3 linked regions of the Canis lupus familiaris genome follow. The protein of the gene in region 1 interacts with the protein of each later gene in a biochemical or structural test. Links are inferred from orthologs where the notes say so. Each region holds a gene or a part of one and is shown on either strand. Other genes may lie near its edges. The genes, in order: FGFR1, FGF6 and FGF8.

Evidence for each region.
Region 2: the proteins of FGFR1 (region 1) and FGF6 interact in a biophysical measurement, tested with the Homo sapiens proteins (2 studies listed by BioGRID and IntAct, with this or other methods). The link is inferred for Canis lupus familiaris from reciprocal best matches to the Homo sapiens genes FGFR1 and FGF6.
Region 3: the proteins of FGFR1 (region 1) and FGF8 interact in a biophysical measurement, tested with the Homo sapiens proteins (2 studies listed by BioGRID and IntAct, with this or other methods). The link is inferred for Canis lupus familiaris from reciprocal best matches to the Homo sapiens genes FGFR1 and FGF8.

The regions. Positions count from the first base shown.
Region 1 is NC_049237.1:27,766,273-27,770,013, forward strand, and holds the start of FGFR1 (fibroblast growth factor receptor 1), read left to right. Parts: upstream 1-1,353; 5' UTR 1,354-1,442; intron 1,443-1,807; exon of another isoform or gene 1,808-1,825; intron 1,826-1,826; exon of another isoform or gene 1,827-1,936; intron 1,937-3,050; exon of another isoform or gene 3,051-3,284; intron 3,285-3,741. UniProt on the Homo sapiens protein: Tyrosine-protein kinase that acts as a cell-surface receptor for fibroblast growth factors and plays an essential role in the regulation of embryonic development, cell proliferation, differentiation and migration.
Region 2 is NC_049248.1:5,649,433-5,653,173, forward strand, and holds the start of FGF6 (fibroblast growth factor 6), read right to left. Parts: upstream 2,706-3,741; 5' UTR 2,478-2,705; coding exon 2,132-2,477; intron 1,180-2,131; coding exon 1,076-1,179; intron 1-1,075. UniProt on the Homo sapiens protein: Plays an important role in the regulation of cell proliferation, cell differentiation, angiogenesis and myogenesis, and is required for normal muscle regeneration.
Region 3 is NC_049249.1:14,551,776-14,555,516, forward strand, and holds the start of FGF8 (fibroblast growth factor 8), read right to left. Parts: upstream 2,661-3,741; coding exon 2,629-2,660; intron 2,528-2,628; coding exon 2,491-2,527; intron 1,624-2,490; coding exon 1,443-1,623; intron 1-1,442. UniProt on the Homo sapiens protein: Plays an important role in the regulation of embryonic development, cell proliferation, cell differentiation and cell migration. Required for normal brain, eye, ear and limb development during embryogenesis.

The sequences.
Region 1 (3,741 bases):
CGCAAGATTATAGATTATAGTGGCATTTAGACACTCTTCCTCGGGTTCCACAGAACCTTTTCCTCAGGTACTCTGGATGGATTCTGATTAATTTCCAAACCAATAACATGCCCGATTCCCACCACTCACTCTTTGCTTCCTAAAATTCACTGCAGGTTGAAGACTTCTGGAGGCCCAGAATGGTGCTGCAGCATTCGTAGCCCGCACCCCCCCCCCCCCCCCCAACCTCCGCTTCCCGGTAAACCACAAAAACCTAAACTCTGTGGCTGGGAACCGTGAGATGGGAGGGAAGGGTCCGAAGGGGGCGTAGACCTTCTCACGGATAAAATACAGCTTGTATTTATTGACTGTTAACTATGTGGCAGGCCCTCTCTTCATCCTCAACTCTAATGAAAAGCGCTATTATCCCCCCTTTTAGATGAGATGAGAAAACTGAGATTCGGAGCGAGAAGAGTCATTTCCCCAAGGCACGCAGTCAGTGCGACTCCAAGGCCGGTGCTGGCAGGGACACCCTCGGGACCACGGCGTCGCCCCCCCTCCCCCCCCTCCCCCCTCCGCCCCCCGCTCCTGTGTCCGCCGCCTGGACCCCGGGCGCCCAGCGGGCGGGGCTCCGAGGCCAGGCCCGCGCGCCCCGGACTCAGACTGCGGGGAAGCTGCCGCCGAGCGCCGCGCCGCCGAGCCCGCTCCCCGCGGTCGGGGGCCGCGGCTGGAACTACAAGGCCCAGCAGGCAGCAGCAGGGGGAGGAGGCGGGGGTGGGACTAGCGCGGGTGGGAGTGAGCGCGAGCCCTCGCGCCTCGCCGGCGCACAGCGCTCGGAGCGCTCCTGCGGGCACTGGTGCGGCGGCCTGGGCGGCGGGCGGCGGGCGGCGGGCGGCGAGCGGGAGCCCGGAGTCCGGTCCGGCGCGCTGCGGCCGGGGAGCCCGGGCCGTGCCCGAAGCCGGGCGGCGGCGTCCCGACCCGACCCGACCCGACTCCGCTTAGCGCATTGCGGCGACCTCGCCTTCCCCGGCCGCGAGCGCGCGCCGCAGCTGGAAAAGCCGCGGAAACCCAGGACTTTCCGCCGGTGCGAGGGGCGCACAGTCCCAGGGCTGCAGTCGGGCGCGCCGCGGGGCCGGGGCCCCCGCCGGGCGATGGAGCCCGGGCTGCGAGAAGCGTGAGGCGCCGCCGCCCGGTTCTGGAGAGGGGGCCGCAGGGTCTGGAGACCCCGGGCGGCGGACGGGAGCCCTCCCCCCGCCCCGCCTCCGGGGCACCAGCCTCGGCTCCATTGTTCCCGCCCGGGCCGGAGGCGCTGAGCCTCGAGCGCCGGCCGCGGGGCTCTCGCGGCTCCGCCAGGACCCGAGCGGAGCCCGGGGGCGGCGGGCCGGAGCCGGGGCCGCGGGCGCCCGCCCGCCCGCCCGAGCCACGGCGGACTCTCCAGCGGCGGAACCGCAGCGCCGAGTGAGGTAAGAGCCGCGGCGCCCGCAGATCCGGGGCGGGCTTGGCGTCCGAGCGGCCCCCGGCGCTGGAGCCTCCCGGCTGCGTGCTTCCCCGCCGCAGCCCGGGCGAGTCCGGCGCCTCCCTCCGGTCGTTACCCGCTGCCTGCGCCTCCCGACCCCCTCCCCGGCGCTCCGCGCCCCCCTTTTGTCTCCCCTCCCGGCTCGCGTCGCCTCCTGCGCCCCCTCCCCGCGCTCGTCCCGCAGCTCCTCCTGCCGCCCAACTTTTCCGCCAACTCGCGCCGGGGAGCTGGCGAGGCGGCGGCGGCGGCGAGTCCTGGGAGCGACCCGGCCCGGGCGAGGGCGAGGGCGAGGGCGAGGGCGGCGGCGGCCCGCGGTGTCCTCGGACCGAGGTGGGGAGGGCGCGAGCGGGCAGCGGTGGGGGGACTGCGTGTGCGTGTGTGTGCTGCATTCCGGCCCATCTCCTTCTAGTCCGCCAGTGGGGACTCCCCCCAATCCAGCAGGTAGCTGTGCGTGGGACGCTAAAGCCCCGGGGTCTTTCTAAGTCTTCCTCCACCTCGAGGGAAGTCTGGGGTCGCGCTTGGGGGTGGGCGGAGAGGGCCGAGAAGGGGGAAGGAAGAGGAGGGGTAGGTTAGCTTCTCCTGGAATAGGTTTTAAGGAGGTGTCGTCACCAAATGGCTGAATCTGCTATTGCAGAGAGCGAGAAAGGAATTCCCTTTTCCAGAGGGGGTTATCTTCTACTGAGTGGATCTCAGAAAGGGTCGGAAGTTTGTGGAAGGGAGGGCGCCCAGCGGGTGATGTTAAGCCCCATTATGGGGTCGCGGGGGGGGAGGGGAACGTTCGGTTCCAAGCTGGTTCGAGGAGGTGGGGGAAGGGATGAGGGTTTGGCCGGTGCGGTGCACTCGGCCGCGCTGCATGTTGCTTCTCTGGCTCAGACCCTCTGCCCACCCCGCTCCCGCCTCCCGTTATGTGTGGGGTTGGGAACAGAGGAACCCTCGTTTGCAGAGAAATTTATTGACATTGCGGATGGATGGAGTTCGTTGAGCACATAACCTATGAAGGCAGCCAGACCCCCTCGGGCGGGGGTGGCGGGGGTGGTGGTGAAGCTTCCTTCTCCTTTCTGGGCCCAGAAAAAAAAAAAAAATTTCTGCGGTATCTTCCTCCCCTAACACTTTTTCCCCCCATTTTCCAGATGTAGCCGCCGCATCTGGTTTCGTTTCACCCCACACCGCAGCCCCATTAACATTTCCCTCCCTTCCCCCTCACCCACATTAAAACTGGGATCCTTCCACTTGTCCTTACCACCTCCCTCCCTCAACATTTTTTGAGACTGAAGTTGAGGCGTTGGGATTTGCGGAGAAAAGAAAGTTACCCTGGGTCCCAAGTTATTTAGGATCTGAGGGTGGCGGCGCTCTCTCGATAGTGCCGGAAGAAGGCATCGTAGGAGATGGGGCCGGGGGGGGAGGGGGGGGGCTCTAGGGGGGTTGGCACTTGGCGAACGGGGCATGTGCTGGAGGTGGCCTCGTGGGTTGTGATTTGACCCAGAACTGGCTCTGATGGAAGTTTCTGGAACCAGAGCATTGCTTTTTCCGCCCCTTGGGTTGTCGCTGTAGCCGCCGGAGCGTCTGGCCCGGCCCGGCCCGGAGTCGCCGTCGGGTCTCTGGCCACCCGCTGGTGGCCTCCTGCTCGCCTTTCCACCCTCCCCGAGCGAGCCGGGGCGCAGCTGCGGGGGACGCGCGAGGGGCGCGGATGCTCTTGCCGCCGGGGGCTCTCCCTGTGCGTTTGAAGGGAGTTAGTGGGCCGCGGCCCCTGGAAGCTAACGTGGGACAATCTGCTTCTTAACGGCTCCAGGTTTGAAAGCGGGCATTGCATCGTTGGGGGTTCTTGTGGGTTTGTTTTCGGTTTTTGTGTTTTGGTTATATCCTTTGAGGTAGGAAGGCACCTTATGGTCCAAGTTGCGCGAGGGCGGGGAGAGCCGGTCCCTCTCACCCTCTCTTTACCAGTCTCTTTCAAATTGAAAACACTTCTCTGGTTTCCTCCTTTGGGCGGTAGTTTTGGAGGCTGTAATGAAATCGCACTTTCTCTAGACATGGTAATTAAGGTGACTGTTTCCTCCGCAGATGTGCCCTGCCCTTTGCACCTCCGGACCAGAGCTTTTTTTGGAATACCGTCTAAACCGTAGAATCTTAGCCTTGAGACTGTTTAGCAGAAAGTGGCCATTTTTCCTGCTTGGCCCAGGTCCCCGGTTCCATCTCTGAGGCTTTAAAAACTAAGTAGCAGGGCCCCCGGGGGACGAGCCTCTGTCTAG
Region 2 (3,741 bases), on another chromosome or scaffold:
ATTCTCCAGCTATTTCCTCTTCAGATGCCCACTTTTAACCCATGCCTTGTCTCCATGCAAACCAACCCAGATTTAGTGTCAGCACTAAAGATTACAGGGAAGAAGCTATCTGAGTACCCCCTTTGGGTATGTAGCAGACCCCTCGGCCTCCCGGAACCTGGCACCAATCCTAGATCTCTCCTCATTTCCTGATGCTCAGTCTGTGTCCAAGGAGAAGTAGAACAGCACTCCACGCCCTTCCCATAAATAACTCTGGTATTCCTTAATAATTGTTCAGAGGTCTACCTTTTTTAGCCTTCTTATTTCTGTCAAAGAACTCCCAGTTTCTTCAACTTCATAGGGATGTTTTCCCAGTCCCTATCTTGGAATAAGCTGAATCATAGGAGGAGAGCCCCAGGACTACTGGGTGTCAAAGAGAGCAGAGATTTTGGTAAATATGCTTAGGGGTTGGCTGCGTTTACAAAAGAGCTTGAATTTGCCCTCCCCTGGGTGATCTGTGTGGGGGAGGGAGCTGGAGGTGAGGTGCCAGCCCAGAGGGTGGAATAGGAGGATGCTTCTCCAGCCTATGGGAGCAGAGGTCAGAGGACTTAAAATCTTAAAGTAAAATTTCAATACACCAGTGAAGGTGGGGAAGAGAGTCTCCATTTCTCCTCTTCCTGCACTCTAGGTGGGAAGGTACCTCTCTGAGGTGGGTCATGGGACAGAGCACCCCAGGCTGAGAGACAGGCTGGTTCCTCTGGGCCTCTCCAGTTCGGGGAATCAAACCTGACCATAAGCCCAGATGACTGCTTCATGTCAGGGTGCAGGTCTCCTTCAGAACCAGTAGCCTCCTGAGCTCTGATTCCCATTTAATGACAAAGGACGGAAAGGTCAGGAAAAGCATGGTGCAGAGCAGAAGCCAATCAACTGTGGAGCAAACCAAGCATGAGCTGCCAGGGCTGTCACTGTGATGGACCCTTCCTTCTCATTCTAGACTGATATTCACTTCTCTACTCAAGCTTTTGTAGTATTTTTTCCAACTGTGCAAGCTGTAGCCCTCATACAACCTGGAGATCCCCCAGCCCAATGGACTCACCGTTGTGTATAATCTGCCTTTACTGTTCATGGCAACGAAGAGGGCACTTTTCACTCCAAAGAGACTCACCACACCCCGCTCCACTGTGGAAATCTCCAGCAGGCCTGACAAAGAAAGCAGGGGGCGTTACCCAGGGCTTATGCAGAGCAGAGTGGGATGTTGATCTAGAGGCAATGCCACAAGGGCATCTAAGTCTGTCCTCTGCTCCTAGAAAGCCAGACCCTTATCACCTCTATGCCTGATCTCACTTTGGACTCGGCACGTCCTGTCACTATACTGTCAAAGGTCCAGTTCTGCAAGGAGGGTTCTGACATCAGAGCCAGGGCTTGCAGCATATCTACAGAAGATTAGCTTTCACTGACTTAATCACATGAGGTCCTTGCCTGGAGTAGAAAAAGGAATGCCTATTGGTTTTTTTTAATAAAGGAGATACTCTACATGTTTCAACAAATCTCAGCTCCTCTGAACTTGCAAACACTGCAGCGCATGGAAGCTGATGGCTTGCCTGGATCCTGCAGCCCCCATCCTCTCTTGGGTGGGAGTCTATCTATGCAGCAACCCATCAACTTGTAGGACGAGGAAGCTGGGGAGGTTGGAATAAAAAAGAAAGATGTGTTTCAGCAGGGAAATTTTGCAGATCACTTGCCTTTTCTTCTCAAAGAGGGAAGCTGAGTAAAAATCAGCCTGGGTTTAATCTGGTCCTGCTGCCCTCATTTACTCTCACCACCCTTGCCTTATGGCTTCCCGGCTGATGGTTCCCTGTGGCCTTCTACAGCCACAGGTGTGTGTCTGTAATGCTAATTGGTGCCACTGGGGCTCCAAGGGGTGATGGCAAAGGACACCAGAATGCTTGGACCTCAGCATATTAAGCCTGCAACTAGGCAGGGTCCCAGTGAGTCTGGGAGAGGTGACTATGTTTATGAGCATCCAAGTAGGGAATCACGGTTCTCTCCCCATTATAATAGGAGCCCATGCACCAGAGCAAGTCCCCATCGTCTTTTAGTCTTGCTTGAGCCCAAGCCCCCAGCTTCCCAACTGGCTGCAGCTGGCACTCACTGTAGGGGTTCTCCTCGTGGGTCCCGCTGATCCGGCCGTCGGGGGGCACCTGGAGGTGAAAGCCGATGCCCACGTTGCAGTAGAGCCTCCTCTGCCGCTTGATCCCCACCAAATAGCCACTCTCCCAATTCACCCCGGCAATCTCTCCAGCTAGCCCGGCTCGAGACCTTGACAGCAGAGTGCCCCAGCCCCTGGAGTCCAGCAGTGTGCCGTTGGCGTGGGTACCTGCAGGCAAGGGCACCACCATGCCCACTAGGACGCCTAGGAAGACGAGAGCCCACAGCGTGCCCTGAAGGCGTCCTGCTCCCCGGGACATAGTGATGAACAGCCTCTGTCCCAGGGCCATCCACCTTGCCTCTCAGGCACGTGGTCAGAATTAATGGCCCTAAAAATACCGCCCTTCTTGTTTTTCTCCCCTCAGCATGGCGGCAGGGGCTTATTTTTGGAAGGCAGATGAAGGCTGCTGACATGAAACCAAAGCCTGCTTTGGGCACTCGGGTCGGGAGCAGAGGGACCCAGGCTGAGCCGCGGCTGGTAGGGACCATGGCTTGGGGACTGTTTCTAGCTCGCCCGCTTGCTCCGTCCCAAGTTGATTATATTTGATTTGACCTATCTTTATAGTTCAGCAGCCTGGCCCTCCCCTCCACCCATCATCACCCTGACGTCAACTGGCCCAGCTCATTTATCCAAGGCTGTAACATTAACCTGCTCCTGGGCCTGGCTGCCTCCCCAGACCCCCATCACCCTCCCCACACCTCAGGGATTCTGGGAGCCACTGTCATTCCAGCTATGAGGCAGGAATGAAGGGAGCAGAGAGCATCTCTGAGGGAGGGAGGATTTGGCTGGGAGCCCAGGGGAAGAGGGAGGCAAGAGGCTACCCACAACCCAAACCGGGCAAAAGTTCTTCGCCTGGCAGTGCTGCTGGCTTGCTTATTTAGAGGGCAAAGGGTAAAGACAGTGATAGGGAAACTTTGGTGGTGGGCAATGGTCATGGCCTATGGGCTACCCTAGAGACCTTTTCATGGAAAGAGCTCATGGTGGTTCATGGCAAGGTAGGCTTGGGGGACACTGAAAGCTGAGCCCTTTAAACAGGAGAGAACAGAGATTTGCTGGTGGGAGGTAGGGAGGTGGCCCCAGGAGCTTTGGGATTGTCAAGGAAGAGAGGGCTAGGTCAGGCTTCTGCTTGCTGTTCTGGCTATGACATTCACCCAGTCAATGAGGTGGAAGTTGCACCTGACATAGCCCACTTGCCATTTTTCTACCTGGGCTTGTCCTTGGCATCCAATTGATAGTATTTCCATTTTATAGATAAGCTAAGGTATAGAGAACTTCAGTGACTGGCCTGAGTTACCATAGCTAACAAGTGGCAAAGCCAGAATATCTATAGTTGGCCTGAATCCAAAGCCTGTGCTTTTAACTCCCCCACAGGATTGCCTGTAGTAGAAGATAGATGACCAGGCTGGCCCACAGAGTCTATTGAGCTCATTCTGTGCTAAGAGTACATCATAGAATTATTTCAATGGCCCAAAATGATTCACCTCCCTCCCCATACAGGCTGGCAGTTACAGGAAGCCTGGGGAAAGCTCCCAGGATGAGTGCCACTGCCTAGG
Region 3 (3,741 bases), on another chromosome or scaffold:
AAGCTAAGCATCCGTTCCCTTTCCTTGGAAGCTGGGAAGGGCAGCAAGCAGCCGGTCTGGAGGGACAAAGGGACGGCAGGCTGGCCCTGCCAGCCCAGCAGGGGACCTCGGCCACCGGGCAGGCCGCCCCCCACCCCCACCCCAGAGAGCCCCCAATCCCCTTCCTGGTGGATCTGGGGAGCTGGGGCCGCAGTTTACAGCGGCTTTCCCGACAGGGCTTTTGGAAAGCTTAACATTTTCAAACCTATTCTTCCACCCCAGTGACAGATTTATCCCGGGAAAATTATGTCTCCTTCTCCAGCTTTGAAGGGAAGTCAGCTACGTCGATGCAGAAAAAATGCAGTGAGACATACTCGATCCCCCAAACTGGCTCGAGAAGAGGAGAAAGTATTCAGGAAATGTTAAAAAAGGTGAAAGTAAGAAGAGTTTTAATCGCTCTGCCAGACGCGGGGGTCTCTCCAGAGATTCATAGAGAACAATCTTGAACCTCTTTTTTAACATTTACAGACTTGCAACTCCTTTCAAACTCCACATCTGAAAAAAGGCTCGTTCTTTTTCTGTTTTATATCATTCTTCATTTTTCTTCTTAGCTCTTAAAATGCCTCACCTTTTTATTACATTTTAATAGAGTCTTCCCCTCTCCTTTCATGGTTGTTTAACTTGGTCATTATTTAAAGGTTTTTAAACTCACAATAATCGCTCTCTAAAAACAACACCAGCCGCCCAGAGGGCTTGCTTTTTCTCTTGGTACATCCAGGACTCTGGAAATTGGCCTTGTTTCAAGGCAGGAATATTGAATGTTTTAGAAATCAATCAGTCCTCCGCCTCTCTGCCCGCGGTAGCTCCCTGGACTCAGCACCCCGCAGGAGCCTGGCGCCCCGCTCCGACCACCACCTAGGTTCCTGGGTCAGTGGAGTGGAGACACCTTTCCCAGCCAAGTCCCTATGTGCGGCTGGCCCTTCTGATCAAAATACTTAAAGGTTCATGGCACCCCCTGTCCAAGCTGGAAAGGTTGGGGCAATTTTTCTCTCTTCTCCTTCCTAGCTCTCTCCTTTTGTGGACCCTGGCGACATATCCTCTTTCAAGAGCTTCCCTTAAACCTGGGGCCCCTCCCGCAGACCCCCTGTCTCCACCTGCAGCTGGGGAGGGGTGTGTGAATGGGGGAGGTGGAAAGGGAGACTCCTGGATTCATTCATCTGCTGGGCAGGGAAGGGGCACCTGTGGGCCAAGTACTCCCCAAGGTCCCTTCCCCAGCCCTCTTCTCTCCAGCTGACCCCCACCAGGCTTCTTTGCCTTAACTCCTTCCCTTCTGAGCTGGGGAGCCTGGAGAGGCCTCTGGCCAGCACAGATGGGGCCTGCAGGTCCCATCAAAGCAGGCCAGCCAGGGGAAGGGGGCATGTTCCACAAGCTACCTCTACCCTGCCGGGCGCAGCTCGCCTTACCGAAGGGGTCCCCGTCTTCTGCCATGGCGTTGATGCGCTTGTTGGCCAGGACCTGCACGTGCTTCCCGCTGGTGCGGCTGTAGAGCTGGTAGGTCCGGATGAGGCGGCGACTGAGCTGATCCGTCACCAGGCTCTGCTCCCTCACATGCTGTGTAAAATTAGGTGAGGACTGAACAGTTACCTTTAGGAAATTGAAAAATACACAACACGCCATTATAATGCTACTCTGCCCAGGGGCCCCCAGCGGCCCCCATCGCCCTGCACGCACCTCCACTGCCCCAGACAGCCAGCAGGGGCTGCGGTGTCCCCCCAACCTGCCAGCTCAGGCCACAACACCCAAGCCAGGAAAGTCAGGCAGACCCAGCCTAGCAAGGATGAGCCCAGAACGATCTGGACCTACCTGTTGCGAAGCCCCCTGGGACCCCCAGCCGGCCGGGATCAGGGAACCAAGCTCCCTGCCCGGCGGCGGCCCGCACCCCCACCCCACCCCCGGCGCCCACACGCCTTCCTAGAAAAGCAGGGCGCTCGTTAGTAGGGAGGCAGCGCTGCCCAATCCCTGACATTTATAAAGACAAATTTGCGGAGCAAATGTTCCGAGCGCAGAGAGCCTAGGCACCTGATCTTTCGGCCAGACCCGCCACAAGTCTCCCCCGAGAGCCGAGCCGCGGAGAGAGTCCCTGCAGCAGTCACCGGGACTTGTGACAACGAACGCTCCGGGACCCCGCTCGCACCCCTTCCCCGGCAGCCACATGTGGGTGCTCCTAGAGCTCCCCATCCACTCCCAACCCGGCCAGGCTGCGTGGGAGACAGCGCTGGAGCCCGAAAGCCCGCGTTCGAGCCTCGCCGCACACCAGCTGTGTGACCTTAGGCAGGGCGCTCCCTCTCTGTTCCCTAACTCCCTCCTAGGGGAATCGGGGCTGGATCCCGAGGGATCCTCCCAGCCCCGCCGCGCCGGCCGCAGGGTCGGTCCTCGGGCCCCCGCCCGACCTCGCCAACCCGCGGCCCCCGCCGGCCCGCCCGGGCCCCGCCGCCGCGCAGTGCGCCTTACCTGGGCTTGGAGGCAGAGGACCAGCAAGTGCAACAGCCTGTGGGAGACAAAAGCGGGCGGGAGAGAGAGGGCGCGGGTGAGCGGAGAGGGCGCGGCGGCGGGGCCGGGCGGGGACGCGGGGGCGGCGGCCGTACTCACAGGCAGCTCAGCGCCGAGCGGGGGCTGCCCATGGCGCGCGGCCCGGGGAGCACCGAGAGCCCGGCGGGATCACGCCGGCCCGCGGGCGGCCGCTAGGGATGAGCCGAGGGCGGCGGCGGCCGAGGACGGCTGGAGCACGGGGGGGCGGGCGGCGGGCCGGACGCGGCTCCGCGGGTCCCGTGGAATGTCGAGCTCGCCGCGCCGAGTGGCTCTGCGCCGCTGCCGGAGCCGGTGGCCGCTGGCTGCTCAGGAGCCGGAGCGGGCGGGAGGGTAACGGGCCGGCAGGGTGGGTGGGTAGGTGGGAAGGGAGGGGGAGGGGTGGGGGCGGGGGGCGCCGCACCGGGCGCGAGGGGGGAGCGCGGGGCGGGCGGCCGGAGCCCGCAGCCCCCGGCTGGGAGCTGGGGCCGGGACGCAGCCCGGGGCGGGGGCGGGGCGGGCCGGGGCGGGGCGGCCCGCGGGTCTGGGATTGGGGGGTCTGGGCTAGGGGAGGGGTCTGGGGACCGCGGGGGGGGCGGGGGGCGGCCAGTGGGGGCGCCTCCCCCCATCCCCGGGCTGACCCCTCGCGCGCTCTAGGGGTCTGGACCCGCGGGGATGGGGGGCGGCTCGGGCTGGGGCTTCCTGGCCCGCGGGGTGCGCGGGGTGCGCAGGCTGGGCGGCGGGTGCGTGAGCCACCTACTGTGTGCTTCAGCCGTGCATGCCCCCGGAGGCGGCCGCCAACGCGAGAGTGAGTGGCTGTGCGGCTCCCCGGCGGCCCGGCAGTGAGTGCGTCTGCGACCCGGACCGACCCCGACCTTTCTGCCGAATAACCCTTCTCGCGGGTCTCTCCTGTCTCACTCCGTCTCCAAGAAGACCCTAAGAGCGAGAAATGTCCCCTCCATTATCAGCATCACCCCTGCCTCCGTCCCACACGCTAGCCTGAAGCCTGAGAGGAACCAGGAGCACCTATGTGGGGGAGCCTAGAGGTCCCTGGCAGGCCCCGTGGTCGCTGCGGCCCTCCCAAAGCTGCAGCAGAGGGGGCCGAAAGATCTGTCAGCTGCTTTTCCTGGAGAAGAGACTTAGATCCAGGCCGCCTAGTCTTTCCCTCTCAGAGTCTCATTGCTTGTGCACTTTGGC